4 linked regions of the Astyanax mexicanus genome follow. The protein of the gene in region 1 interacts with the protein of each later gene in a pairwise test. Links are inferred from orthologs where the notes say so. Each region holds a gene or a part of one and is shown in the gene's direction. Other genes may lie near its edges.

The links.
Region 2: the proteins of nup62l (region 1) and xpo6 interact in binary tests that used the Homo sapiens proteins (3 or more experiments, as listed by UniProt). The link is inferred for Astyanax mexicanus from reciprocal best matches to the Homo sapiens genes NUP62 and XPO6.
Region 3: the proteins of nup62l (region 1) and fabp3 interact in binary tests that used the Homo sapiens proteins (3 or more experiments, as listed by UniProt). The two-hybrid records come from large-scale screens. The link is inferred for Astyanax mexicanus from reciprocal best matches to the Homo sapiens genes NUP62 and FABP3.
Region 4: the proteins of nup62l (region 1) and filensin interact in binary tests that used the Homo sapiens proteins (3 or more experiments, as listed by UniProt). The two-hybrid records come from large-scale screens. The link is inferred for Astyanax mexicanus from reciprocal best matches to the Homo sapiens genes NUP62 and BFSP1.

Annotation. Positions count from the first base shown.
Region 1 is NC_064417.1:1,308,191-1,315,886, forward strand, and holds the start of nup62l (nucleoporin 62 like), read left to right. Parts: upstream 1-4,682; 5' UTR 4,683-4,808; intron 4,809-5,576; 5' UTR 5,577-5,593; coding exon 5,594-5,904; intron 5,905-6,769; coding exon 6,770-7,023; intron 7,024-7,651; coding exon 7,652-7,696. Other genes in the region: cnga2a (cyclic nucleotide gated channel subunit alpha 2a), read left to right, coding at 507-614, 964-1,070, 1,243-2,663. UniProt on the Homo sapiens protein: Essential component of the nuclear pore complex. The N-terminal is probably involved in nucleocytoplasmic transport.
Region 2 is NC_064426.1:39,391,168-39,399,019, forward strand, and holds the start of xpo6 (exportin-6), read left to right. Parts: upstream 1-4,844; 5' UTR 4,845-5,317; coding exon 5,318-5,320; intron 5,321-7,833; coding exon 7,834-7,852. Other genes in the region: antkmt (adenine nucleotide translocase lysine N-methyltransferase), read left to right, coding at 1,112-1,309. UniProt on the Homo sapiens protein: Mediates the nuclear export of actin and profilin-actin complexes in somatic cells.
Region 3 is NC_064410.1:50,268,642-50,276,210, forward strand, and holds the start of fabp3 (fatty acid-binding protein, heart), read left to right. Parts: upstream 1-4,562; 5' UTR 4,563-4,691; coding exon 4,692-4,764; intron 4,765-6,943; coding exon 6,944-7,116; intron 7,117-7,569. UniProt on the Homo sapiens protein: FABPs are thought to play a role in the intracellular transport of long-chain fatty acids and their acyl-CoA esters.
Region 4 is NC_064414.1:2,560,461-2,568,356, forward strand, and holds the start of filensin, read left to right. Parts: upstream 1-4,882; 5' UTR 4,883-5,015; coding exon 5,016-5,413; intron 5,414-6,615; coding exon 6,616-6,676; intron 6,677-7,679; coding exon 7,680-7,775; intron 7,776-7,896. Other genes in the region: mypn (myopalladin), read left to right, coding at 1-43, 131-338, 1,134-1,299, 1,539-1,672, 2,024-2,181. UniProt on the Homo sapiens protein: Required for the correct formation of lens intermediate filaments as part of a complex composed of BFSP1, BFSP2 and CRYAA. Involved in altering the calcium regulation of MIP water permeability.

The DNA of each region.
Region 1 (7,696 bases):
TCAAAACTACACTGAGGTATTATAATACAGTTTTATAATAGATATTATAGTTATAATTATATTATATTATAATATCTCAGGGTGGATTTAATAAATAATTAATACTTGAGAAATTATAATACAGTAAAAAAAGGATCTAGTCTTCAGGTGTATATTATACTACACTATTATTACTGTCCCTTTCCTAAAAATACCAGTTACTGTAAGTACCAGCAATTAATAAATGTAATATTTTTTAATCCATGATTTAGTCACATAATATTGTCGTGATTAATACATGACATTATTTTTAAGCGATTGGCTCCAAAGATACAAATTTTGTTTGTTTGTTTCTAACAATGATTCACATTTTATTCATATTTCAGCTTAGTCTTATAGAAGAAAAAGTGTGATTATTCGTCATTAATCATGGTATTCAATTTTAATCAATTTACAAAATGCTATACTGGTCATATCTCAGTTATAATCTTTAAAACTAAGATTTTTTGGGGGGGATTCATCTACAGGAAGAAGTCAGACGTATTTGTCCTCGCAGCAGCAGACGACTTGTATTACCACTGGCTGTTTATCATCGCCACCGCTGTGCTGTACAACTGGTGTCTACTGGTGGCCAGGTAAAAAACACCTGTCTTATTCTTACCTGTCTTACTGGTGGTGATTTAAAATGTTAAATATTTGCTTAATAGAAGGAATAAATATGTATTTCTAAAATTATACGAACAACAATTCAGTAAAAAAAACATTTAAGCTTTTAATACAGATCTGCTTTAGAGCTGGCCTGGTTGAGATGTTCCCTACATAGAAAAACAACAATTTAAGAGCTTCAAACCTAATGAATCGAGCAGGTCTAATTTAGATACTCATTTTTATGCTGATTTATGTAAATATCTGCAATTGTGCCCAGTGCAAAGGGGCATTTCCTGTGGCAGGCTCACAATTTAGCCATTGATATTTCAAACACAGGGCCTGCTTTGATGAGCTTCAAACCAACAACTACATTGTGTGGCTGGTTCTGGATTACCTCTCTGATCTGGTCTACATACTGGACACCTGTGTGAGACTGAGAACAGGTCAGAAGCCTCGGTCAACAGTCACAACACTCAAAAGTCTGAAAAAAAATTGCATTTATTGAAATAATGTACTAAATGTTGTACTTTTGGTTCTAGAAATGATTTTATATTGTTTTTTAATCACCTGAATCCAAATTACAAGAAAATAATTACATGAATTTCCACACCGCAGGTTACCTGGAGCAGGGTCTTCTGGTGAAGGACCTCAAAAAGTTAAGAGACACCTACATCAGCAACCTCCAGTTTAAGCTGGACCTCCTGTCCATCCTGCCCACAGACCTGGCGTACATCGCTACTGGAATCCACGTACCGGAGCTGCGATTCAATCGTCTGATGCGCTTCTCTCGGTTGTTTGAGTTCTTTGATCGTACGGAAACTCGCACAAGCTATCCGAACACTTTCCGCATTGGAAACCTGGTGCTCTACATCTTGGTCATCATCCACTGGAACGCCTGCATCTACTTCGCCATTTCGAAGTCTCTTGGCTTCGGCTCAGACCAGTGGGTCTACCCTAACATCTCGGATCCCGAGTTTGGTGCTCTCTCAAGAGGCTACATCTACTGCCTCTACTGGTCCACCCTCACGCTCACCACCATTGGCGAGATGCCTGCACCAGTGCGTGACGAGGAGTACCTCTTCGTGATCTTCGACTTCCTAGTGGGTGTCCTCATCTTTGCCACCATTGTTGGCAACGTAGGAGCCATGATATCCAACATGAACGCCACACGTGCCGAGTTCCAAGCCCGCATCGACTCCATCAAGCACTACATGCAGTTCCGCAAGGTCAGTAAGGAGCTGGAGGCTCGGGTCATCAAATGGTTTGACTACCTGTGGACCAACAAGAAGGCAATCGATGAGCAAGAGGTGCTCAAGAACCTTCCCAACAAGCTTCGGGCGGAAATCGCCATCAACGTGCACCTGGAGACTCTGAAGAAGGTGCGGATCTTGCAGGACTGTGAAGCAGGGCTCTTAGTGGAGCTCGTTCTGAAGCTTCGGCCTCAAGTCTTCAGCCCGGGCGACTACGTCTGTCGGAAAGGAGACATTGGGAAGGAGATGTACATCATTAAAGAAGGTCGGCTGGCGGTGGTCGCTGACGACGGCGTGACGCAGTTCGCCCTCCTGACTTCTGGCAGCTGCTTCGGCGAGATCAGCATCCTCAACATCAAGGGCAGCAAGATGGGCAACCGGCGCACGGCCAACATCCGAAGCATCGGCTACTCGGACCTCTTCTGCCTGTCCAAGGATGACTTGATGGAGGCGGTGATAGAATACCCTGATGCCAAGAAGGTGCTGGAGGAGAGGGGCCGAGAGATCCTCCGGAAGGAGGGACTGCTGGAGGAGCTGAGGGCAGGGGGGCTTACAGGAGAACAGATGGAGGAGAAAGTGGAACGACTGGAGACGTCCCTGGATACCCTGCAGACCCGCTTCGCCCGGCTGCTGGGGGAATACACGGCTACACAGCAGAGACTCAAACAGAGGGTCACCACTCTGGAGAGCAGGATGCAGCTTTCAGGCAGCGGGTTTCTGTCCGATGGTAACGAGAGCACTACCGATGGTGACGGCACTCACAGCGAGGTCAACATTCAGCTCTGAATGGAACTGGGTCTTTATTATGGGTCTTAATTCCATGATTATTCTAGACTCAGGGAGAACAAGTGGCTCAGAGGCTTGTTGGTTAAAGGAGAACTCTGGTGTAAAATGGACTTTTGTTGTAGTAAAACATGATAAAATATTCTTTCCTTTGATGAATAGCACACCTCCGTTCTCCCACAGCGTTCAGAGATCCAGACATTTTAACAGTTTGTCCAAACACCCTTCAGACTGGGAGATACGGGGCAAAATTTGCCTTGATGAATCACTTTTTACACCGTTATCCAGCTCAAAGTAGCTCCACACCTCCTCACTAGAATCCGAAGAGCCCTGACATTTAAAACGAGGCATTAATAACTTAAGGTAAGTACTTTTTTTTCATGTTTTACTTCTCCAAAAGTCCATTTTACACCGGAGTTCTCCTATAACACATTTCATGTTTTTTCCATGGTATTCCATGTCTTCGTGTCTGGGTTTCCTCCCACTGTCCAAAAACATGGTTAACAGGTTAAATGGAAACTCTGAATTGCCCTGGTGTGTATACTGTATGTGTGGGTGTAATTATGTATGAGAGTGTGTATGTATGTTTAAAACTTTTTAGAGCTTTTGAGACATTTTTTATACTTTTGCTAATTTCATTTTATAATAGTCTTTTAAGGACATCTGGAATCTGAAAAGGCAAAGGCTATGTTTAATGTCATTAAAAATAGATGTCTTTAGTGTCCACTAAAGCTGATATCCATATTTTAGTCAAAAATGTAAATAGCTCAGTGTTTTTAAATAGGTCAATAAATCAATAGGTCAATGGGTCACTTTATATGAGTCATTACCAGTTGGAGACAATATTTAACAATAAAATGTTTGTTTTGGGTGAAGACTGAAACATGTAAAGGCTGTATATATGTATATAAACTTTGACTTGTATTATTGTACTACATAAACTTTGAAGCTGATTTTTGTTTGAAACACAGATTAAAGATATTGTGTTTTAGTTTATTTCGTACTTTGTTTCTCTGGTCTTTGCTCCCATCTCACAAAAACACACATACTATGTGAAATAAAACTGATAAACCTGTTGCATGTGTACGCAGAAGAACATAAGAAGGTGGGTATAAAGAAAGAACATTTTAGTCTATGAAAACTCGTCAGAAAATGGATTAAAATTGAAATGTCAATATTTCAAATAATCAAATATCATCAAATCAATATTTCATTATAGCAGCGCCGCTGGACTGGAACATTAACTCCCCTTCGTATGATTGGAACTATTCTTTTCCATTATTTATAGAAAATATCGTTTGTAATTAAGCCTGTCTCCCAAATCACACACATACATTTTTTAAAATAAACACTACACAATAAATACACGCTAAATACAATTAGGTGGGGTCTTGTGCAGTTTGGGACACAGCCCTATAGTCTATATGATTTTTTTTTGTATTTTACCTCTGCTTTAACTAATACATTTTACTTTTTATTATTTTTTTTTTATTTGCATGCACTTGATTTTTTTTAAATATAAAAATACCAATATTCAATATACCAAAAAGACAGTTTAGTGGTCTCATAGTAAGCAAGGGAATAAATTGAATAAGAAAAAAAACGTAAAACGTACCTTATTAGGTACTTTTATGCAACTTTTAGACAGATTTTAACTATATTAATTGCCTCATTTAATTTTTGACAAAAATTTAAAGAAAACTACCAACCACTACTATACAACTCTTAATGTTTAATGGAAAATATATAAATATGTGTTTGTTTTACTCTTAATAGTCTAACGCATTCAAAGTTGAATTTTAAATACAGCTAAATTTGATTTTATATATATAAAAAAATATATTTACATTATTATTATAAAACTCTATAAAACGGTATAAAGAGAAGAGCCTTTATTTTAAACAGGCAAACGTAGGGGAAACTCCGGCTCGATCACAATTGACTCCCTTCCTTTATGCTAGGGACTGTTCTAAATGCGGTTAACAGCCTTTATTAATGGACTATGTAGTTCACTATGTAGGCAGCATGAAGCGTTTGAGATGTGCCCTCTGGTCCTGCGCAGTGTCAGTAGCGCCGCGCTGACGGACTTGTTTTTCCGCGCGAGGAGTTTTACAGGAATGGGATCCGGCTTTCTGCACTTTTTCTGAGGTAAATCAGTTGTACTGCTGTTTCAGGATTTATTCTCAGTTACTGCAGAGTTTATTATTATAGATTAAATCACATCAGCAGGAGTGTTTAGGTAACAAGCTTAACATTAGCCTAGTTCACTTAGTTAGCGAGCAGAGCTAACAACATAGCTAAGCTAAGCTAACTAGCGAAAGCATGACTAGCTGAGAGCTGAGCCGGGTAATTACTTTACCTTATTTACTTTATTTACCTCAACACAGCAAGAGTGTGTGTTTATCTCTAGCTTTCTATAAGTCTATATCTCTATACATATGTCTATATGACTTTTATACACACACACACACACACTGTGCGTAGATGGAGAGAGATAAGTCCCTTTAAAGTGTAAATTTGGTATAAACAAGAACACAAGCAAAGCAACAGCACATAAAAACATTAGAAAAGTTAATAATATCTAAATCATATTAAATAATATAAAATAATTAAAATTCCATATTTAGTAATCTCAGGAAATGTACTATAATCTTATTCAGTTCTTTAAGATGCTGTCAATTATCTGGAGACGATAGGACATTGGGACAGTCAGCAAAATTGGTGGTATTATCTAGCCCCCATGCCAGACTTGAATTATTTTGTAAAATTTCTCTTATAATTTATAATAATCTTATAATAATAATAAAGTCAACATTGAGGGATGTACTGTAATAAATCATGAACAGGGTTGCTTTAAAAGAGACAACTTGTTTTGTAACGATCCTATTTATTAATATTCTTTATCTAATATTTCAGTATTTAAAGAGAGGAAGATGTCCTTCAGTTTCGGACAGGCCAGTGCTGGTTCTGGCTTTACTTTTGGAACCCCTAAAACTACCAGCTCAGCTCCGGCTGCTGCTACAGGTTTTGGACAGCTGACCAGCACCCCGGCCGCAGGGGGCTTTACGTTCGGAGCCCCGACTCAGCCTCAGGCCCAGCCCCAGACCCAGGCTTCCATCGGGACGTCTCAGATCGCAGGACTGCTCGCTCAGCCCGCGGCCAACAATGGAGCTTCACAGGGGGGATTTAGTTTCGGTGCTGCGACGCAGAACACCGCTCCTGCTCCTGGAGGATTCTCCTTCGGGTAAGACTTTTTGTACAGGTATTACTGAGAGAAGACGCTGTACTGATAGATACAGGGGTTGGAGAATGAAACTGAAACAGCTGGTTTTAGAGCACAATAATTGATTGTGGTGACGGACAGTTCTGGTGGAAACAGGAGAGTTGAGGTGCACATTGAATTCTGCGTGATTTGATCAGCCGTGGTTTTATGTTTTTTGGATACAATCCGGGTTAGCACCCGAACATCCCTTTCAGACAGCTTCCTCTTACAGCGTCCACAGTTAATCCTGTTGGATGTGGTTGGTCCTTTACCCTGGATACCGTGGCTCTTGATGCATCACAAAGACTTGCTGTCTTGGTCACAGATGCTCCAGCAAGACGTGCACCAACAATTTGTCCTCTTTTGAACTCTGGTATGTCTCCCATAATGTTGTGTGCATTGCAATATTTAGAGCAGAACTGTGCTCTTACCCTGCTAATTGAACCTTCACACTCTGCTCTTACTGGTGCAATAATGTGCAGTTAATGAAGATTGAACACCAGGCTGCTCCAATTTAGCCATGAAACCTAAAATCCCACACTAAAATGATGACAGGTGTTTCAGTTTCATTATCCAACCCCTGTATGTCTACCTACAGTGGCTTTTCAAAGTATTCATACCCCTTAAACATTTTAACATTGTGTTGTCTTACAACCACAAAGTTAAATGTATTTTATGGAGATTTTAAATGATGGACCAACACAAATTAGCACATAATTGTAAAGTGGAACGAAGATGATCGATAATTATAACATTTTTAATCAAATAAAAATTTGAAAAGTGTGATGTTATAAAGAAGAATGGGGTAAAATAATTAAAATAATTTTAAATGTTTTCTCACTTCTAGTGCACCCACTGCGAAACTAGGCCTGGGCCTGCCTACTGCCTCTCAGCCTGCCAGTACTGGAGTGTCTCTGGGGGGTCTAGCAGCACCTTCCTCCACTGGAACAGGCTTTACACTGGGAGGTCTTGGTGCTCAGACTACAGCCGGAGCTCAGCCGTCTACAGGAGGCTTCAGCTTCGGGATGACCAAAGTTCAGACCACTGCAGCCCCGGCAGTGCAGACCACTCCCGCCCTGTCGCTGGGTGTGCAGCCTACAGGTCTGTGGTTTATCCTGATTTTAGGATTAGGGGTTGGCGATATAGCCCTAAAACAATATCACTATATTTCATGGCATTTTCGTGATAACAATACTCTTGGCAATATGAAAAAACACTTAATTAAAAAAAATATATTGTCCCTATTCAGGACAGTACCAGGGGTCTGCATGGGTACAATTAACTTTTATTTTATGTTCTGGCAGAAATCATTTATATAGCTATTCAGTACTTGATTATTTTGTGATTTAAATATTGGCTATTGGATTCTGAATCAGTGTTTCTGATTTTGCTATTTTAGGTGTATTTTGCGTAAGTTACAAGAAAAAGATTTAAGAGTTCAGAAATCAATATTTGGTGGAATAACCCTGTTTCTTTATGCATCTTAACATGTTTTCCACCACCAGTCTTACACACTGCTTTTGGATAACTTTATGCTGCTTTACTCCTGGTGCAAAAATGCATGTAGTTCAGTTTGGTGGTTTGATGGCTTGTGATCATCCATCTTCCTCTTGATTTAAATTTGGTAAAATCAAAGAAACTCATAATTTTAAAGATTCATACAGTTTTAATGACACCATTCTTTTCTTTTCTCTTTTTTCACCCTCTCCTCTTTCCTTCTGTTGGTCAGGTCTCACAAGTACTGCACCCGTCTCTACAGGCCCTACTCTCGGAG
Region 2 (7,852 bases), on another chromosome or scaffold:
TAATAAACATTTTTCTGAAATAATAGGTCTATGCTTTTTCAGTGTTGCAATGTTAATTAACATAATTCTGAACAGATTTCGCTCATTCAAACAGCCTGAATATATTCTAAAAAGCTCTAAAAAAATGTCAGGTTTAAATCGGGCTTGGGCTCATAATGATAGTTTATGGTGCAGGTTGGCTCAGGCAGAATATTCACAAGCTTGATGGGCTGAATTTTTTGGGCCCAATCTAAGCTCTACAGTCCACATGATCCTTAAATTTTTTAGTGATGATTCTGTATCTTTCAGGCTGTCCAGAAATGCATGTTGAAAGCAAGTCTTCTTGTTCTGTAATTATTTGTTTAATGATTTTTAAAGGATGTTACTTAAAATAACAAGGTATCCAATCACATTATCTATTTTATTACCAGTAACAGGGGAATACTACATAATACCAAAACAGGTAAATTAAAAATAGTACACTATTTAAAACATTGTTTTAAAAAAATCATACTACAAATTCCACTTCCTAAATGTAGGGGGAGCCAAGGAGCAAAATTGGCAATTCTCACATAATGCTGCTTTAAGTCAATGAAGACTCTATTTAACACGTTTTAGATGTTTTTAACAAAACCAAATATATGTTCAGTATCTGTCGATACACGAAAGTAATAAAGTATTAATTTGTGCCAGAATAAGGTGGTATCATTAAAGGGTCTAAAAAAATATCAATATTGCATTGCACCTCAGCATTTTGGTTTGCAATACTGAACAATTTTCAAAAACAGAATACATTTTAATTACTACTATACCTGTAGAAATTGGTGTCAGAAGTGGTTGATTTGTTGTGTTGTGTTTAAACCCCGCCCCCTAGATAACAGTGTTGTACTCTGTCGTTAGATCCCACTGTTCTGATTGGATAAAAAATAATGTTTTCTGTTACTCAGATCCTTTCTAAATGTGACTTTGTTTTTTATAGTATTATACTATGATACACTAAAATTGCTTGCAGTATATTGCAACATATCACAATATATTGAATTGTAAGCCCTATGTTGCACTAAGGTCTTGCCAGATCACATCTCTGGTGTCATGCCACAAACAATGAACTCTATTATCTTTTGTCCGTTAGCTCACACTGTTACAGGAGAAACTGCTGGTCGAGCTCCCTGAAGATGCTCTGATCATCGCTGGACGCTTCCCCTTCCCTGATTGGACGCCGTGCAGGATAGAGGGTCAGGGCGTGGACAGAGCCTGGGCATATTCTATAGAAGCAATCAGAAAACAGAACCAATCAAAGGACATCCAATCATCCGAAAAGAGCAGCTGAGACTGGAGAAACAGATTTTAATGGAAAGGACGGGGTTTTACACATTTTATCATTTTATCACATGGGTATTTATTGCTTTAATGATTGTTTTATGCGTCATACTGATATGAAACACCATATTTGCTTTTGCTTTCATTTTGAACACCAGCCACAGACATCATAAACACTTTCTGATTTGAGAATCAAAAGTTTTAGTGGAACTGTTCACACAGAATCACAATCAAATGCCATTTATAAAAGTATTTATAAAATATAGTGAATGTACATCTCTAGTTGAGTTCATTGTAGACCATTTTCTTTCTCTTCTTGACAAGTTATGGGTGCTAGAAGCTATTTTATTTATTGCTATTTTATTAGCTATATTAAATTATAGTACTGTATACTAAAACTATACATTTCTATTTATGTTAGGTTTAATCACTAATATTTAACAACTGTACTCCTTAACCATTATGGCTAATCTGCCATTTTGGAATTCATAATAAAAGCCCCTGGGCAGATGTATACTAAAACCAGTGACTGTATAGACTAAAATGATAAATAACATCCATTTTAAAATTATATTTAAACTATTTTATTTCATTTGGACTTTACTAAGTAAACATTTGATCAAAATATGGTCAAATATCTAAATTCTGTTCATATTTGAATCTCATTTTAAGGATTTTAAGCAGAGTTTGAATGTTTTATTATTATGACAGAGCAACATATTTCAGCTATTAATGTAAAAATTTAATTATTGTGACAGGCCTAGGTACAGGAGTATTTAATGTACACAGATTTCATATGATATTTTGTGATTAATATCATGTTTTTACGCTATATCAGTTTGCTCAAAAACAGTATTATGCTCAATAGTGATAGAAAAAAAATATGGGAAAAATATGGGTATTTCTCTATTCCATTTATTTGATAATTTGATAATGGTTTATTTTTAATTCTTTAATGCCTGAATCTTGTGAATACAAGTGCTATGTTGTACTAACTAACAAATATAAATAACGAGATCACAAGAGAAAATGTACAATTTATAAATGATCATAACAATGCTTCCTTTGTGTTTCACTCAGACTAGCTGATACGGTTCTTCTTGTATCAGACGCATAATGCGTAGATCACAGGATAACACACTTGAAGAGTTCTCTCAGCAATTGTGGGTTCTTTTTGAAGTTTTGGAGCATTCTGGTCACTTCCTGCTCCTGTATGTGACCTAGTTACCCTAGCACACATGCTCAATCTTCTCATTCAGTGACATGTATCTGAAAAAGAATGGCAAAAATAAACTAATTTGTTTGTGAGTGCGATCCTCATCACTTCCCCTTTATCAGAGACAAAAGATCAGTTTATGCGTGTATGATTGGCTATTCTTTTTCAAAGCTCCATGACTGTAGAAAGAGCAAATTCAAAGTTTGTGGGTTGACAACTGGTAAAATATTGACTATAATGCAAAATTTCTAGATCATAATGCTAAATAATATGATAAATGATGAGTGCAGTGAGTCAGCAACACCAGTCTAAGGGCATTACAGCTGAGAGCTCAGACCTAGTGCTTGTTACTTTTAGAAATGAGAAATGAAAACATGGGGGTTTCCTAATTTCCACAGGTCAGGCTGATAATGTGTGGATTGTTCTTCTGATTAAGGCCTCTCTCTCTCTCTCTCTCTCTCTCTGGTCTGAATGTCACCCCTCAGGCAAAGTGAGAATGAGCTAACTCACATGATCTTTCTTCTCTTACAAAAGTCCTTAAAACCTTACCAAGCAAGGATCAAACAGAGTACACAAGCTCAGTAGCATTGCAACCAGAAGACATAATAATAAACCACCATGGTTAACATAAAATAACATATCATAAAATGATGTCATAAAATAATGATAATACAAATTAAAAACAAATCGTTTTTTTAATAGTTTTCAGGATCTTAAAGGCTCTAGCATAGATGCAAGGTGAGACAATCTACTGCGCGGTTGAATATGGGGTTTACAAATTCCACATGGCATCCTGCAGCACATTTACCCACAGATGTTGCTACAGCTGGGCCTGTAGATCCTGTAGCTCTACACTCGTAGGTAGAAGCTGAAGGTGGAGTCCCAGATATGCCCTTAGACCATCAAACTCAATTTTAGTAGTATAAACAGCTAACTAATGAATTTGGCAGTGTAAATAGTTTATTAGGGTTTTAGTAGTATGAGCAATTTATAGTGATTTTAGTAGTTTAGTCAGTTTATTAGTGATTTTAGCAGCATAAACTGTTTATTAGCGATATTATTAGTGATTTTAGCAGTATAAACTGAGTTAGTATAATATCCCTGGTGTGCTTTGGCAGTATAAATTTAGTTTAGTAGTGATTTTAGGTGTATAAAGATTTTTAACAGTATTAACAGAGTTTATTAGTGATATGACTACTGATTTTAGTTAGGATTATATCACTGGTGTGTTTTTAACAAAAGAAATCGAGTTTAATAGTGATTTTAGTAGTATAAATTTAGGATTATTTCACAGGTGTGATTTTAGCAGTATAAACTGAGTTTAATGATGATTTTAGCAGTATAAATAGCGTTTATTAGCGATATGATTACTGATTTTTGTTAGGACTATATCACTGGTGTAATTTTAGCAGTAAAAAAATGAGTTTAATAGTGATTTTAGTAGTATGAAGAGATTTAGGACTCTATGATCGCTGGTGTTCGCTGTCTATTGTGTTCAACTGCACTACCTCCATTTTACATCACACACACACACTAAAGACTGTACTTTTATAATTTCATTTTATTGTTTATTTTGTTGTATTTATATGTATCATTTATATATTTTTTTATCTTTTTGTAACTTTGTGTACTATACTCACCTGCTGCTGGATGTCAAGAATTTCCCCTCGGGGATCAATAAAGTATCTATCTATCTATCTATCTATCTATCTATCTATCTATCTATCTATCTATCTATCTATCTATCTATATATGATTGGTGTGAATTTAATAAGGCTTATGTCACTGGTGTAATTTTAGTGATTTTTTAACAGTATAAAAAGTTTATTAGTGATATTAGTGATAATATCACTGGGGTATTTTTTGCAGTATAAACTAAGTTTAATATTAATTTTAGCAGTTAATATCACTAGTGTTTTTTAGTTAGGATAATATCAATGGTGTAATTTTAGTGCGTTTAGTGTGTGATTCTAGCAGTATAAATTGAGTTTAATAGTGATTTTAGCAGTATAAACTAAGTTTAATAGTTTTTTTAGTGGTATAAACAGAGTTTAATAGTGATTTTAGTGGTATTAACAGTTGGGATAATATTACTGGTGTGATTTTAGCAGTATAAACAGAGTTAGGATAATATTACTGGTGTGATATCAGTGATTTTAGTTAGGATATTATCACTGGTGTGATTTTAATTATTTTATTTAGGATTATATTAGCAGTGTGATTTTAGGCTAAAGCTGCTGCTGTAGAGACCGAGCTGCCTGGTTGTGCCACACTTCTTGCTGCGGCCGGTTTCATCCGGCCCAAGATTAAGATTTCACATCCGGCGGGGAGGGGCTGTGCTGGGGCGGAGAGAGGAAGCTGCGCGGCCTGGGCGAGAGAGCAGAGCCAGCGGCTGTGTTAAACTGCAGGCGGGGGTCGGGCGCTGTTCTCCTGGGCTCAGAAAAATCTCCAAAACGCGTGTGTGGCTGTTTCGGTGTGCCGGGGCGAGACGCTTTATCCAGGGCCGCGGTGAGCGTCGGTTAGTGGGGCTTGACACGAGCTCAGTCCGCCCCTCAGCACCACCTCCCCGGCCTCCACCGTAACAAGTGTCGGCTGCGCTTTCAGCGGTACCAGGCGAGGCCCTGCGGGACTGGGGTGAGCGGCATGCCGTGTATCGGCGCTTATAGACGGTAAGAGGGGGAACCAGAGACCGCAGGCCCGGGAGCAGCGATGAGGAGCCGGGTAGGGCGTCTTCTTTTCAGCCTGTAGCCGCAGATAAACACGCAGCAGCCCGGAGAGAAGACCACAGCACACCGGCTGGCCATGGTGAGTGGACTAGAGGGTGCTTACACACTGTTTTACTGTTTATTTGAGCCATTTTGGGTCAAAACAATCTAAAAAGCAACAAATTCACAAATTAGAGGATCCTGATAACCTGTGTGAGGCAGGGCTTGAGCTTTGTGGCCATATTTTAGCTAGCTATAACATTGTACCCCCTCCTTTATTGTTGCAACATTATCTAGCCATAGGTTTAGCTTGGTTAGTTATTGTCGTGATTTGTGCTAAATCTGAGCCTTTTAAAGCTCAACAGCTATATATGTTATGAATTTGGACTCTGTTATAACGCATATGAGCTGTTAAAGCTTAGTCATGTGGGAGTGAAGGTGATAAAAACGTTTCTAGCTAGCTTGGTTATGTTTATCCTCAATTATATTGAATAACATCCTTTATCATTGATATCTCATAACATTAAAATATATTTTAATACCCTTAAGCATATGGATAATATATTTAAGCTAGATTTCTTTGATTAGTGCTTAAGAACACCCAAAAACAAACATATACCCATCCCAAACCTTCACAAAACTCAACAAAAATCAACATAAGTGATCTATCAATGGTGTTCTATGGAGATGTTTATAGTTATTTCTTGGACACTAGTAATGCCACTAACAACAGGAGGGTACAGGCCAGCATATATGCCTCAATATATGCATGTTTGTGAAGCCATAACTGTGGGAGTGCAAACACACCAGACAGCTCTGGGAGAGCAGTTTAGAGCTATTTCAGACCCAAGTTTAGTTTCATTATATATTAAGTAGTTGTATCTATTTTTAGTCAGTAGTATTATATGGAGATATAATATATCTTGGACATGGTTGACAGCATATTTAGTTGGGCTTAGAACCATTTTGATAAAATGAGTATCATCTACACAATCAACTCTGTCTTTTAGGTATTGAAAGGACCACAATAGCCCTAAAACGAACATATAGCCCCCACAAACCTTCCTAATGCCCACCAAAGTAACTTTAATCAGTGGTCTTATATGGAGAGCTCAGATGTTGATTGTATCTAACCATGTCTTGGATATGGCTGAGAGTATATTTAGTTGGGCCTGGAACCATTGGAAAGATATCAGCCCCATTAACCTAACCTACCTGTATTTCAGGTGGGAAGAAGAACCATAAATATCCATTGCATAATGTTGAGAGGTTGCGAGACAGTAAGACCAACACTAAGGGTCATATCCTCACCAGAGGAGGATGCTTCTTAATCAATATTGTTCCTCAATATTGTCCTCACTCTTCTCAGTTCTGTAATTAAATATCACTGGAAGAAAACCTTTACTTAGAGCATATTTTTAGTTGAAAGAAAGAAAACAAGCATACACATCATCAAAACAGAAGCCCTACATCTGGGAGTGCAAATGTACCAGACAGTTCATCGCTTAGAGATTAGAGAATGAGAATACTTAGCATCAGCATCAAGAAATGGTTTAGAAGCTATACTGTATGTTTCAAAATTACACACCATGGCAAAATATATATATTTTTCATGTTTTATGCAGCTTAAATAGACTGACCCCAAATAATAACACCCTTAATGAACACCAAAATGGGTACAGCTCTTTTGAAATGGGTTATTATCACATATAGTTCACTTGTTTATCTCAACAAATTAGAAAATGACACTTAAAATAGAGCACGAAAGAGATGTCAGTCATTTTTTTCAGAGATGTTAAATATTAAATCGGGTCAAGATGACCCAAAATGATAAGGAATAAGTCCTTTAGCATCTCTGAGGATGCATTAAGTCTTCATGGCCGAAATTTAACTCTATTTTTCGGTATTTTAGATATTTCAGACTCTTCTCTCATGGTTTTAAGCAAAATCTGAGCATCTGCAAACAGGCAGGAACTACCAGACTGTGCTATTGGTTTATTAGCGGATGGCAAGCTGGTAAAATGTTTCTGAATTATGTTATTTTAATGTAATGATGCCGTGGTCCACATAATGGTCTAGATTAAACCAGCTCTTGGTGGTTCCCTCAACTCCGCCCCAGTGGAGGTATGTCAAGACGTGTCGAGACTTATACGAAGAATTCAGATAGCAGAGAAAAAGAGAGAAGAAACACACACACATACACTCTGTTCTTCCTCTAATTCTCTTCCTCCTTTTCGCTTTTATACTCAGGCGCACATACGTAGGCCGATGGTGTGTGAACTTGATGTACTAGAGAGGTTATGAGGAAACTGTGTGGTGGCTTAGTGTCAGAGCGATGGCCTGCACTCTTATCACTTACTTATCATGGCATCTCTCGCTCAATCTCTCTATCTTTTTTTCTGCCTTTCTGTTTTGTATTCTGTATTTTCTACACCTTTTTATTTTTTTGTTTGAATTGAAATGTCTGTACATCTGTCTCTCTGTTTGTCTTTATCATTCTTTTATGTTTCTGCTTTTGACATTCTGGCTCTGTTTCATTTTTGTGCTAACTCTATTCTCTCTCTCTTATTCTCTCTCTCTCTCTCTCTCTCTCTGTCTATCTATTGCATGTAGGCGTCGGAGGAGGCATCCC
Region 3 (7,569 bases), on another chromosome or scaffold:
GGTAGACACAAAAGTGTCTAACTGCTTTTAATAGACGATGTGTACACGAATACCAGTCTATAAACTTAAATAATAAAAAGGACAGGAAATACAGGGGAAATGTACCCACTGTGTGTGTGTACACTTCACACAGTTTCCTAAGAAGACCATCAAAATGTATGTGGCAGCATGCTAAATAACAGATTGGCTAAGACAGGAAATGCAGGTGAAAGATATAAAGTACATCTGTGTGTGTGTGTGTGTGTGTGTGTGTGTGTGTGTTTGTGTGTGAGAGAGAGAGAGAGAGAGAGAGAGAGAGAGAGAGAGACAATTTCCTAAGAAGTAAGAAGTCTTTCATCTACCTCCTCCCACTCCTAAAAAAATATAGATGATGAAAGACAAGTGATCTAATTTAGTGATCTTGGCAACAGAAAACACAGGTGCTCCACTGATTGGAAACAACCTACACAGATGTCAACAGCCAGACCTTTCCACTTTTCCATCAATAATAAACAAAATACAATTGCTTTACAAAATACAACTTCAAGGATCTTTGTTGGATTTCTGCTGTTCCATGTACCTTACAGCATGAATGAGCAGGTCACTGTCCTTTGCTAAGATGCGCTGAACACATCCAGGTAGCTGCACCACTGAAATAGCAATCCGCCAGTCAGAGCGCACCTGACTCTTAAAGCATAATATTGCATGTTATGCCCAAAACACACTCCTGATTAATTAAGAGAATTAGTACATGCTTTTTGCATATTTTGAGTCGCACAAGGCGTACTTTTCCTGTCGTTATGATAGCAAAGACTCACTAGCACGCCCTAAATCAATCTGCACGGCATACTGTTGATGACTTGCCTATGGATCTTTAAATGATTATGTTTTTTGGGCTGAAAAACAGATACATACTTAATTAAAATACCACTGGTTTAATTTTTTTTTTGCATGTTGGTTTATGCTCTAAATTCCCAATATTTATTTTATTTTTCTTCAGAAATTGAGAGTTTACAAATGTACTGGGACATATTCTCATGCATTGTTTCACTGAAATTAAGGGTATTAAAAGGAGTTTATCCTGCTGTTATTGGAATAACTGTCTCTACTGTCCAGGGACGGGTGTCTATTAGATTTATTAGATATTTATTAGATTCATCCATCTGGCACCCACTACAAAGCCTTACTCACAAGTTAATACCTCACAACTTATAGGTGTGGGCATTCCCAAATGGTCCCCTCAGTTAACACTTCATGATCAGTTTACATTCTGCTGTCTTTTGGTATGTCAGTGTAAACATTTTTTCAAGAAATTAAAAAAGGGCTTCTAATAAACACACTACAGCAGTTAATCAGCTCAACTCCAAGTCGTTTATGAGCTGAATAAAGTGTGTTAGAGGAGGAAAACATTAAACACTAAATAGCTGTGCTCTTCCTGGAATTCATTTTAACACCACAGTCACAGTCTTAGTCACAGTCACATCTCTTTAATAGGTGACACCTCTGCGTTAATACAGCGCACTGGTCTGAGGTGGACTGAAATAGAGAGTGATGTTGTAGATGTGTATGACTTATTGGACTTCATCTTCTGCTGAAATCACTCATACAGAATATGTTCTGTATTGATCTTTCTTGATAAAATCACTTTTTACAGATTTTACAGGAAACTGTCAGTCCCCGCGGTCCGGCCCAAGCTGACCACAGCAGGAAGCCGTTCACTCAGAGAAACAAACAGGAACAGATGATTGCTAATAGCTGCAAACGACACAACATCTGCTTTCTTACAGAATGTCAGACACTATAAATAATTCAGAAGCTTATAATGAGATCTAAGACCCTGTTATGATAACAACATGGCCTAAACATACACACTATTTCACAAAGGACACCCAACAGAGAAGGAGCGAGAGAAAGAAAGAAAGAAAGCGAGAGAGACAGAGAGAGATAGAAAGAGAGAGATAGAATCAAAGGACAATTGCTCTCGTCAGAGCCGGGTCAGCTGCCTGCTGTGTACATTCATCATTGTGCTGTGGAGGAGGAGCTGACTCTGTAATGAGGTGTAGTATTACCTGTGGAGCATTTGGAGTAAGTAACACCAACCACAATTAGAACAACTACATCTACTATCTCTCTTTGCAGGTGATAGCTGTCCCATGAGGATCTTTGGCCTGCAAAAAATGATATAAACTCCACCTCCTCAGCCAATGAGAACATACGTTTTTCTGCATGGTAACATGAACCACAATTGTGTGTTGTGGTTATTGTGTTATTTATGGGAGCTCATATCTGCCAATACTTATTTTATTTATTAAGTTATAAATATTATAATATTATAATAATATATAATATTATATATTATAATATTATTAAAATAATGAGAAAGTGTTTTAAGAAAAATTACCTTCCTCCTGCTATATTATATGTCTTTTTGTCTGTCTATCCGCTCCCAGTCTTAGAAGGTTGTGTTGCTTCTACACTTGGATTTTCACTGACTGAGATAAACAGAGCACAGGCTCTCCCAAAATACTGAGCTGAGGGTGGGAAAGAGGCCTGAGCACAGAGAGAGAGAGAGAGAGAGAGAGAGAGAGAGAGAGAGAGACAGAGATGAGGTTAACAGACCATGTTGTGTAAAGGGCTGATGGGAAAGTGATTTTTGCATGACTCTGTTTGACCGTTTGACCTTGACCCCTAAATCACACACTCTTCTCCTCCTTCTCCACATTCTCTCTTTCTGTCTTTCTTTCTTCCTATCTTTCTATAAGAGCCTGGGCATGTTGCTGTACAGGCCTTGAACAATCTCTCTCTCTCTCTCTCTCTCTCTCTCTCTCTCTCTCTCTCTCTCTCTCACACACACACACTATTAAGCACAGCGACTGTTAATACAGCTGTTGTTGTCCCTCCTTCCCTTCCTCCCTTACTTAATTCTTCCGTTCAGCTCCCATCCAACATCCCACCACCCCACCAACCACCATTCCTCCCCCCCCCTCCCTCTGTCTGTTTGTATAGACTTTTGTATATATTTTTTGAGTTATTACTTAGATTTATCAACTTAAAATTTAAAATTTGATAGGAGCAGTTTTCCAGATAGGGATTAAGCTATTTATATAAGATATCTGTCTGTCTGTCTGTTCTATCACCTTCTGCTTACTATATGTGTTTTTTTTCTCTCCACTCCCAGATTTAAATGGTTTTGTTGCTTCTACACTTGGATTTTTACTCACTGACATGAACAGAACACAACCCCTGTCCTGAAAATAACCAATATAGCTTTTCATGATCATAGTCATGCTGTGGACATGGGTTGTAGATACTAATTAATTATTCTGAGAAACTGAATGATTATTTTTTATATATTCTCTCATTATTCTAAGATACTAAAACATAAGTTATAGATACAAAATCATGATGCAGAGATATTAATTTATTGTTTTGATACACTAAGGGACAGTATCCAGGACAAGGTTAAGTCCTGAACTAATGGCTTTTAATGGAAAAGCTCCATTCAAAATCCTATATAGTCCAGGAGGCTTAATTCCAGTCCAGAAAACTGCCACCAAATCATTATTTTAAAATACTCTCTTACGTTTTAAAGAAAATATAATCTAGGACTATAGGCTTCTAGGACCAACCCATATAGTTTTAGGGTTTATTACGAACACAGTCATGCTGTGGTACTAAGACTAGGTAATTGATTAGTTTTAGATTCTAAATCTGATTCTGACATACTATCTCATTAATATAAGACATTATTCATTGCATTGGGATATTCATTTTTTGTTTTGATAAACTTGGGACAGTTTCCCTAATAGGGATCGAACGCAGTCTTGCATGATACAGCATTCTGAATGTGGATTGCTGTGAGGATTTGATTGCATTCAGCTACACAAGATTTTTCTCTTGTTCTTTTACTTATTTCTAACACAGTTTCTAAAGACAGCTCCCATCCACCATCTCCCACAATCCCACTCAACATTCCTCCATTTGTCCTTTAGGACTATAGTCTTATAGGAGCGACCCATAAAGTTTTAGGGTTTATTACGGACACAGTCATGCTGTGGTACTAAGACTAAGTAATTGATTAGTTTTAGATTCTACATCATTATTCTGAGATACTATATCATTGTTCTGATATACTAAGCCATTACATTGGGATACTCGTTAGTTTGAGATATTAATTTATTGTTTTGAGACACTTGGGGCAACTTCCCAAATAGGGATTAAGCCCAGTCTTAGACGAGTATTTATACAGTATTCTGAATGCAGATTTAGTCCTGGACTAGGTTTGCTCACTCATTGCTGTGAGCACTTGATTGCATTCAGTAACACAAGCTTCTTCTCTTGCTCTTTTACTTAATTCTTACACAGTTTCTCAATACAGCTCCCATCCACCATCCCCCACAATCCCACCCAACATTCCCCTCCCTCCATAACCTCTTCTCTTTCTCTCTTTTCTCCTCGTCTCCCTCTCTTTCTCTCTTTGTCCTCCTCCCTCTCCCCCCCTCCTCCCGCTATCTTCTCCTCCTCCTCCACCCCGCCCCTTCTCAGGCTGGTGACGTTAGGAACAGCCGGTATAAATCAGCCAGTAAGATTAGAGTAGCTGTTCTCCGTGCCTCGTTTATTCTGCCCCCTCCATCACTCACGCGCTCATTCTCCCACTCGCTCCGTCCGTCTGCTCATCTTGCGCTCCTTTGCTTTGCTCTGAAACCGAAAACATGGCTGAGGCTTTCGTCGGCACGTGGAACCTGAAGGAGAGCAAGAACTTCGACGACTACATGAAAGCCCTGGGTGAGTATGTTTACACAGGGGCGCGAGCAGGTGCTTGTTCGTGATCGTGATCGCGTGGCGATGTGCATGAACGAGAAACAAAAAGGCCGTGTTTCTGTGTGTTTGCACGGGTTATCTCTAATGCAGAATTGTCCACAGGCAGCGCGTGAGCATGTGCAGGTGTGTGGTGGATGCACGGACAGATGGAGAGAAAAGATAACGTTAAATAAATGAATGAAAAGATGAATGAATGAAGGAGGGAGGATCCCCCTGTCTGGTTCTGCCAGCTACATCTGAGCTGCATGCGCAGATAAATGTATCGTAATGCACTGACTGGCACCCACGCACTAGCAGTGCCCACCACGTGCATGCTGTATGCATGCAGCAGCAGTGATTGCGCGTTTCTCGTTAGAGCTCGAGAGCTCGGTTATGGTGTGTTAAATCCAGTGTGTCAGCTTGGCCTGTATCGACTTGACTCCAGCCTGACTGCAGATGTAGGTTAAAGAGTAAAGCAGAGGGAGGTTAGGCCCAACACGCCCATGCCTGAATACAAATCTCAAAATAATTACTTCCTCAGCATAACAACCTGCTATATATAATACACAATAAAGTGAGGATCTTTTATATAGTATTTTTAGCATTTCTAAAGAATCAGTATCTTACTATAGTGAGACTCACTTAAACAATGATTTGCTACGTATCTTACAAGAAGTATCTCAATGTTTTAGTGTCTTTAAAATAATGAATTAGTATCTCATACTAATAAATTAGTGTAAATTTCATTTACCAAAGATGTATTGTAAACTAAAGATGTAGCGTCTTACGCTAATGAGAATTGTTCAAACCTAATGAATTAGTATCTCAGGCTAATCTATTAGTGTCTTAAAATATCAAGATAGTATCTCCAAATAATGACTTAGTGTCTTGAAATGAGATCTCAAATTAAATATTTAATGTCAAAAACGAATGAATAGTAGCTCAGACTAATAAATTAGTGTTAAAATAACAAGATAGTACCTTGATCTCATTTTGTATTTTTCAGTTATGAGTCTGACAATAATGACTCTAGATGATAATCTCTGGAATATGAGTGTGTTAAAAGTGAGTCATGCTTTTGAGTGCATGCAAAAAAAGGGAGTTTCCAAAGTGCCTGGATGCTTTTAAGTAATGTAATATTATACACCATGTGCAATGATTTGTAACCTATTCCCATTGGTTCCATCATAATCTTCATGTTTCTGAAATGGGAAGTATGATTGATTATGATTATATTTGTTAGACCAGTGTTTCAGGTTGGCTTGTATCGACTTGACTTCGGCTTGACTGCAGTTATAAGTTAAGTGTAAAGGAGAGGGACATTAGGCCTGACATGTCCACGCCTTGCAGCAACAGCAAGTGCTCTGCCTTAACTGATCACTCACAAGCTTCACACAATGCACACAATAGACGTTTGTTCAGTCCATAAAGTGTGTGTGTGTGTGTGTGTGTGTGTGTGGATGAGGCCTAGAGAGAAGAGAAGCGGGGGGGTGGGTTGTGGTGGGCTTTAGGGAGGATCCTTAAGTGAATGGTGGGAATTACTGTGTGACTGATGGTGTGGTGGGGAGTTGGGTGGGGCAAGAACTAGCTAGTTTAGCTTCTTTGCTTTTAAACATCTGTCTCTATCAGAAGGTCAGAGTCACCCCTGCCCACACTGACCCACTGTATTTACAGAACAAATCAATCAGATCAATATGAACAGCTTGCTCTGTCTGTGTGTGCATGTCTGTGAGTGTTACCTTGACCCTTATGACCGTTCCAGAGTTTGGTCATCTGCTGGGACATGTTCACCCATGAGTAACCCAATGAATGTTAGTGGGGGGTGGTTGTGAGCCAGTGAGAGAGGGACAGAGGAAATATGTTTAATTTATATGTACTTTCCAGTCATGCCTTGGGCTCTGTCTGTGTGAATATATTAAGCTCAGTTGAGAGAACCATTTCCTGCAAGAACAGGAACATGTGATTCTGGGTCCTTTCAGTCATGGTGTTTTTGTTGTCCCCTAATGTGGAAATAGTGTTATTAGCTAAACATTCATGTGTGCTCAGGTTTGTACAAAAAAAAAAACACACAGCCAAAACATTAGAACATTAAGTTTTCAAAGTTGACCATATGTATCATATATATGCATGAGTTAATAGATTTTTTTTGTATTCTGTATTCCAGGTGTGGGCTTTGCAACACGTCAGGTTGGCAGCATGACCAAACCCACCACCATAATTTCCCTGGAAGGTGATGTCATCACGTTAAAGACAGTCAGTACCTTCAAGAACACAGAAATCAACTTCAAACTGGGAGAAGAGTTCGACGAGACCACAGCAGATGATCGTAAAGTCAAGGTACAGGCATGCGTTCTTGAGAAAATGCCAAGTCCATGTTCCAGCATGCTTTTAGTGAAAGAGTTCTGTAGATATGGGTGTTGTCTAAAATGCGAGATGGATGTAGGTCATTATCATTGCCTAATTTTAAAATGTTTGCTTTATATAAACATGCCCTACTTGAAGAGTGCTTGTTTACAGGAAGATTTTATATAATGAAAATGAATTCAGCTACTTTTACTAGTCCCTGTAATGAAGTACTGTCAATAAAATAGCAGATTAACATGAACCTGTTGCCAGACTTGGTCTAGAGTGGTATTTAAACCCTTCAGCATCGAGCGTTTTGGAATAATTGTGCTCCATCCAGTGTTTTGTAGCTGAGACTAGGTGAGGTAGGCAAAGCTCACAGTAGACAATGGTTTTTTCCATGTATTGTGTGTACTAAAATTATGTATTTTACACTGCACTATGATT
Region 4 (7,896 bases), on another chromosome or scaffold:
CATGGTGTCTCACGAGGGCCGGCTCTGTAGGTTAGACTGTAAGGTACATTAATTACGCAGTGCTGATATGAACACGTGCAGTTTTCAGATGAATTTAAGATTCTCACAGAACTGTTTTATTTAATCTCAGGTAAGCGGACTCCCCCATCCGGAAATGATGTGGCTGGTGAACGGAAAACCAATACGTCCGGATCTGACTCACCGGATGCTGGTCAGAGAAAACGGGGTTCACTCTCTAGTTATTGATCCTCTGTCGAAAGACGACGCTGGAACGTATACATGTATCGCCTCCAATAAAGCCGGGCAGAGTTCTATCTGCCTCACGCTCAGCGTTGTCGGTAAGAATTAAATCACCTTGATTCGCGTGCGTCAAAAAATACTATAATAATACACAATAATCCACAAAAACAAGGAAATAAATCAGTTAAAAAAACATTTTCACGCTTCTACTGGATGCTAGTAAAGGTTAATTGTTGAAAAACATCAATGAACACAGTGAATTTAAAAAAAAAAATTGGTATTTTGCATAAAAAAGTGTAGCATTTTTACCTCTTAGTACGCATGTGACCTTTGGGGTGACTACACTTTTTTAATAATTGTATTTCTATTTCTACACAGTAACTTACTCTTACAGCCTTCAACATTGAAATCAGGCTATAGTTAACTATTATATAACACATATATACAGTATATATACCCCAAGAGAAGCAGCAGCAGCCTGTGGGGAATGACTACACAGTGACAGTAAGTGAGAGGTGGGAAGACACGCCCAATATGCAAATAGCATGACCAACATCAGGTGAAAACCCCTGAATAATTGCTCAGTAGACCCTGTTCAACTGGGGAGTCAAACTGAGCATGTGCAGTGTGCTGTAAAGTGCACAGAAGTTGGCTCGTCATCAACTATTGTTCAACTTTTTTACAAAAAAACATAATAATAATAGTTGAATTAATATAGTAATTATTTTGCTTTAGTTTCCCATACAGTTCAATATTTCTTGTTCAGATGATTTAAAAATCACATTACGCAAAACAAATATAAGTTTTGTTTTTTTTACAGTATGTGAATTATTCAGTTAATACCATATATTGCACCATATATAAACACTGTTTTTTTTTTTACTGTTTTTCAGAGAAAGAGGTGAAACAAGCTCCATATTTTGTGGAAAAGTTGCAGAATTCCGGAATCACAGAGGGAACGCCAGTCCGGCTGGAATGTCGGGTAGTCGGCATGCCCCCACCTGTGTTTTTCTGGAAGAAAGATAATGAAACTCTGTCTGAGACGACAGAGAGATTCAGGTGAGTCTCTAAAACTCTAAAAACTGAAATAAAACCACTATTTAATAGAGAACACTACAGTGTACAGTATATACACACTGTACCTATGAATATGACATGACTTTAAATAATAACCGGCCCTCAAGGGAGATGTTTAAAAAACATATTTTTGATTTTTTTTTATATTGCAAATTTTTTATTTATGAAAAATTCTTGTATACGTTAAATTTTTACTCTTGCTTATAATTTTTTTAATCTAGTTTGCACCAAGACACAACAGGATACGGATGCCTTCTTATTCAGCCAACCAGGAAAGAGGATGCTGGCTGGTACACGGTGTCTGCAAAAAATGATAGTGGTATCATTTCATGCACAGCCAGACTAGATATTTATGGTGGGTGAATGTTTCTTTTTTTTCATTGTAGATTTTAATGTTAATGTTATTCAATAATTCATACCTGTCAGAATTATTCAGAAATGTTCAAACTTCAGTTCAGTGTGTGTAATATACTTTTATTATATAAAAATGGTCTTATGTAACTGTGAATCAGAAATATTAACACTTATTTACAACAGTAATAAACATTATTAATGGATTAAGTGATGTCTCAAGTATTAATTGACATTAGTTAAGACATTTTTAAACATTCTTAAATCTTAATGGTTAAGAATGTTGTAAATAATAAAAATATCTGCAAAGCAATTTGCAATGGTTCGGATTTCATCCAGTTTTTTCTTTCTGTAGCTCAGTGGCATCAACAGGTCCATCCACCCATCAGGAAACCATCACTTACTGGAAGTCACTTTGCTGCACTAACTGGAGATTTTAATAATAAACCAGTTTATCCTGCGATATTCAACACTTCTCAAGGAGAATCTACTCAAGAGAGCGAGGAGCTCTGAAAACCACCTGCTTACAATAATCATAAATCATGTCATAAATTTAAAAAAATCACCTGAGAGCATCTGATATATTTATTTTTATTTTTTTCAGAAGATGTTGTTTAGCATTTGGGTGCCTGTGGTCTAATCTGCTGTATTATTTTACGGACAGAACTGTCTCTAAAACTGCATGTTTTCACCTTAAACTGGCGAACAGAAACAATAATGTTTTTACAATAACATTAAAACTCTGAATTCTGAGAACTTAAGGAGCAGGATGTTCATTTAGCTTCTGCTTTAAGACACTTAGGCTACGTTCACATTACCTGTTATAAGCCGCATTGCTCAAATCAGATTTTTTGCTCAGATCTTGACGGTTCACATTCACTGTAAATGTAAGTGATCTGTATCTGTGTGTAATGTGAACGAAGCTGTTCCTGAAACACCGTCTCACATGCGCCTCACATTAATACCTGTATGAACGTCTCCTTCTTCACCAACAATCAAAAAAAAAAAACTCATATTAGAGAGAGGAGAGACTCGTAGCTTTATAAAGGGAAATGTTAGCAGCTCATATGTGGAGCATCTTTTGCTGGAGTGGAGAAACAGGAAGCAGCTGGTCTGAAGTTCATGCTCAGGTCGAGGAGGTGAAAAAAGGCCAGGCGGTTTGCTTTTGCTGTTTTTTTTCCGCAGCTATAGCTGCACAGCTACACCAATAGATGTAGTGTGGGTACGAGAAAGAAGCACGTAGCGCTAATGCTATTGCTAATACGGATACGACCACATATTAAAGTGACTTAAATCTGATTTGAAAAAATCTGATTTGCCACGTTCACACAGCCATGAAAAAAACAGATCTGAGCAACATTGAGCAAAAAAAAAAAACAGATTTGAGTCACTTCAGCCTGGTAATGTGAACGTAGCCTGAGTGATATGACTGATTTGCAGTGGGGGGGGGGGGGGGGGGGGCACTAGTAAAACATCTATTAATATAAAAATGCTTTAAAGCACATTACACTTCATTCACACAGTATGATTTTAGAACACAGGCAGCCATTGCTCTTTTGTTTATGGCTTTGGGATATATGTATGTATTTATATGTGTGTTTTCTGTGTAAAACAGATTTTGATCAGCTTTTTTGAGTTTGAGATTTTTTTGTTATGTACAAATATGGTGAAATTATTAATAATATGGATTTTATTGATTTTCAAAACTTTAAAATGAAGAAATAAATAGAACTAAAATTTCTGTATGTGTGTGTGGCTGACCTCAAAAATGAGGTGGAAAATCATGGATTGTAGCAATGCAAATTAATTAATAAAATTTTATTTTTAAAGCAAACTTTATACATTCATTTAATGTTGTCACTGTCACACTGATCTTTTTTCATGTTTTTACATAACGTGAATCTAAATGTTATTCTTGTATCAAATTTATATCATTATATCAAAGGAGGTCAGTAAATTAAATGGCGGTTGGGTTAAATGCCAGCAAATTGTGGAATCCGATCCAAGGTGCAAAAGACTTGTGACTTGACTTGGACTCCAGCTTATAGACTTGTGCCTTGAGTTGGAGTCTAGCCTAAAGACTTGTGACTTGTCTTCGACTCCAGCCTGTAGACTTGTGATTTGACTTGTTCTTTGGCTTAAAGACTTGTAACTAGACTTGGAGTCTAGCCTAAAGACGTGTGACTTGTTTTGGACTCTAGCCTAAAGACTTGTGACTTGACTTGGACTTTGGCTTAAAGACTTGTGACTGGACTTAGACACTGCCTTAAAGACTTGGGTCTAAGTTGGACTCCAGCCTGTAGACTTGTGACTTGAGTTGAAGTCTAGCCTAAAGACTTGTGACTTATTTTGGAGTCTAGCCTAAAGACTTGTGACTTGACTTTGACTCTGGCTTAAATATGGATAACTTGACTTGGACACTGCCTTAAAGACTTGTGATTTGTTTGGACTCTAGCCTTAAGACTTGTGAATTGACTTGAACTCTAGTCAAAAGACTTGTGACTTTACTGTCTTGAGATTTGACTTGGAGTCTAGCCTAAAGACTTGTGTCTTGCTTTGGACTCTATTCAAAAGACTTGTGACTTGTTTTGGACTCCAGTCAAAAGACTTGTGACTTCACTGTCTTGAGACTTGACTTGGAGTCTAGCTTAAAGACTTATAAAAATATAAAAATATAAAAAATGACCTTGACTTCGACTCCAGCCTATAGACTTGTGACTTGACTTGGAGTCTAGCCTGTGTCTTGCTTTGGACTTGATTCAAAAGACTTGTGATATAACTTGGACTCCAGCCTACAGATTTCTGACTTAACTTGGACTCCAGTCAAAAGACTGTAGACTTGTTTGGGACTCTGGGTTAAAGATTTTTAAAGATCTTTATATAAACACACCGCGGCTCAGAGAGAGAGCTTCTTTCAGTGGGAGAACAAAGGGCTTTGTTTGGTGTCTCTGCTGCAGGTATTCAGGGTGAGGTCGGGTTATTCTCTGTTGTTTTATTGTATCGTTTCACAGAAGAGCAGCTCGTGCAGTTTTTCATTGTTGGCCGGGGCCGAACTTTCCACAGAACCGAGCCGCTGTAAAGCGGAGACCAAAAAGCACCACAATAGTTTGTTTGACGCAGCAAAGCCCTGCTTTATTTCTGCCTCGTGCACAATGGTGACTGGAAGGGTCTGAGCGCAAAATCGAGAGCAGGGGAAAGAGATTTTTCCTTTTTTTTAAAGCTATTTCGCCGGATGGGCCCAGCGGGCAGCGGTCAGTCTAGCATGAGCCCTCCGAGGGTGAGCAGCCCAGTTTTCACACATTAAAGGTGCTGAGGGCACGAGCACTGACTGAAAGAGCAGCGCAGCCATGTTCAAGACCACCTACAAGCACGAGGTGCACAAAAAGAAGTACGAGCGCACGGACGTGTTCGAGGACCCCGGCAGCCCTGAAGACGATGCCGAGGCCGCCCAGCGCGGACATGCCGGCGCCCGCGCCACACTGCCCGCCTGGGAGAGCCTGCAGGAGCTCAACAGCCGCTTCGCTCGCTACATCAACCGCGCCCGAGTCCTCGAGCAGCGCAACGCCGTCTTCCGCGCCCAACTGGAGACTCTGCAGCGCATGGAGGAGGCCGCAGGGCTGGAGGAGGCCTTCCACGAGCAGATCAGCGTCAACCGGCAGCGCATGCGGGAGCTGCAGGCCGAGCGCGCCAAGCTGGAGCGCGAGATGAAGGAAGCCGAGCGCATGCTGGACGAGTTCAACAGCAGGTAAACAACAACAACAACAACAAGCACCTAAAGGTTTATTCATAAGTTATTACTAAATATTACTTATCATATAATAAAAGATAATTACAATAATATAATATTACCTGAATAATGACACATTAAAATTAGTCTCACACATAGACAAAAAAGCAAAACAATACACACCTAGAACCATACACACATATAACTTACAAAAAATAGACAAAAAATAAATACAACTTACAGACATGAAGCATGCAGTAAAAAAATAGATAAAAAAAAAATCATGTTTAAATACATGCACAGAGCACCTTAAAAAATATCTGTCCAGAAAGTAATTGCATAGTTACTACATGCACTTACTATGCTGAAATGAAGTGAAACATCGCTCTTAACATATAACTTATCTAACTTTTTGAAAATATAACTCACTGTATTTACCTCAATACTAATAAAATGGAATTCTTTTAAGAAAATTGATACTTTAAAATGCTTTAAAATCATAAGATCAGTCACCATTCAGAAAAAAGAAGATAACAGGGTATTCTTTACACATAAATACCATCACAATTTAAAGTTAGAAAAGAAGAAAACAAGTTAATAGATATACAAAGTGAAAGTGTTTAGACATGAGTAAAAAACATAAGATAATCATAATCAATCCTCACTCATTACGTGACATTTTAATAACTATTTGTGAAAAATTAGGTCATAATTTTGATATATGATTTATAAGCATTTGAACCATTTAGAGAAAAAAACTTCTGAGATGGTGAGAAATTTGGTAGGTGTGATCTTAAAAAAAAAGTTATTAGTCTCACCCTTAAAATAATAATGAAATATACAGTCCATTGCATCAACATATATTTATAGTAATACAAACTTAATAGAACAAACTTAATAAAAGAAGAAATAATGGCATAATTCTTAAAACAGGTTGTTTTAAGATAAGAAAATTCAGATAAACAGAAAGGAACAGAGAGAGGATCTTATTTGCTGCATCATATTGTTTACTTCATGTTTCTTATTCAGCACAGAAGTTTTGTTCAGTTTTCCTTTCTTCAGCTGAGGATATTGAGTAATCTACTGTTTTATACACAAAACAGTGTATAAAATAATGCATATGCTGTCAGAGAATTTCACACACAGATGTGAAGTCACGGTTTGGTTTAGGGTGGATCACTTGGTCGAGCTGCTTTCTGATAACCGTCTTTTTCCCACAGATACAGAAACGAGTGTGAATATCAAGAACATCTGCGAGGGACGCTGGAGCAGCTCAACAAGGTACGACAGTGTCTTTAAAGGATAAATAAACTCCCTGATTTTTAATTTTTGAGGACTCCAACCTCAGCTCAAATTCGAAAAATGCTGAAAAATAGGAGGAGTAGTTTGGAAGGGGCACTGGGTGATGTATGGGTTTAGGGGCGGGACAGAAAGGAAAGCTGATTGGACTGACCAGTGTGTGCCTCTGAGAGCAGTGAGACCCAGATGATTGGATATCATCAAGGGGCGTTATTATTGATTGTTTTCTTACACAGTTGAACCTGAGATGGCGCTGCAGAGCCAGAAATAACTAAAATAAGTGTTTTTTAAAGGTCAGCAAAGATTTATAAAAATGTATAAAAAATTGCTACAATGGAACACAATTTAGTGCCTCTTTAACCTCCTAGGACCTGCTGTCACATTTCTTTTTAAAATTTTGCTCTATATAGGCCTTTCGATTTTTTGTGAAGAAATTAAAACAAACAGTAAATACAGTAAATAATTATGTTTTTTCCTTTGTTATGTCGGTTCGTGTTGAAGCAGCACTTCAAATGAGACAGGTTGCTCAAAGGGGGCACAATTGTTGTTTCTACTTTTGTTTTGCACTCAGGCAAAAATGCTGCTGTGTTTAGGCACAAAATAACTGTTTTGCAAATCATTACTGATTGTGACTTCATTGTGTTCTATTGAAATATAAACCAAACGTCCTCATATGTGGACATTATTTTTTTATTTGTTTAGAAACTACATCATATAAAAAGATAATTCTTTGTTTTTACACTAATCAGGTGCCAATTAGCCCAAATTGTAAAGAGAAAAATAAAAATGCAGGTCATCCAGTCATTTAAAGAACTAAATATGTGAAACCTTGCTGACATGTTTGGAGTTAAGGAGAGATACTATTTACAGATTAGCTGTAGCTCTCAGAAGCAGAGCTTTCTTACAGGTTTCTAAATCTGAGAAAGTTGTGTGTGTTGTTTGTTGTGTTGATCTCTGACTGTAATTTTTGCTCTGGGATCTGCAGGAGGCCGACTCTGCGCTTCTGAGGAACCTGGAGTATCAGATTGAGTCTCAGTTCCTGCAGGACGACATCAGCTCCACAAGAGACCGACATAAAAAGGTAAAGAGGATAACGTGGCCGGCAAATGATCGCCGACAGCTTGGTCGACGCCCACACCACACCCAGTTTACTGTGACAGGTCTGATCAGTAATCAGTACCACATTATGCCTAATTATTAAA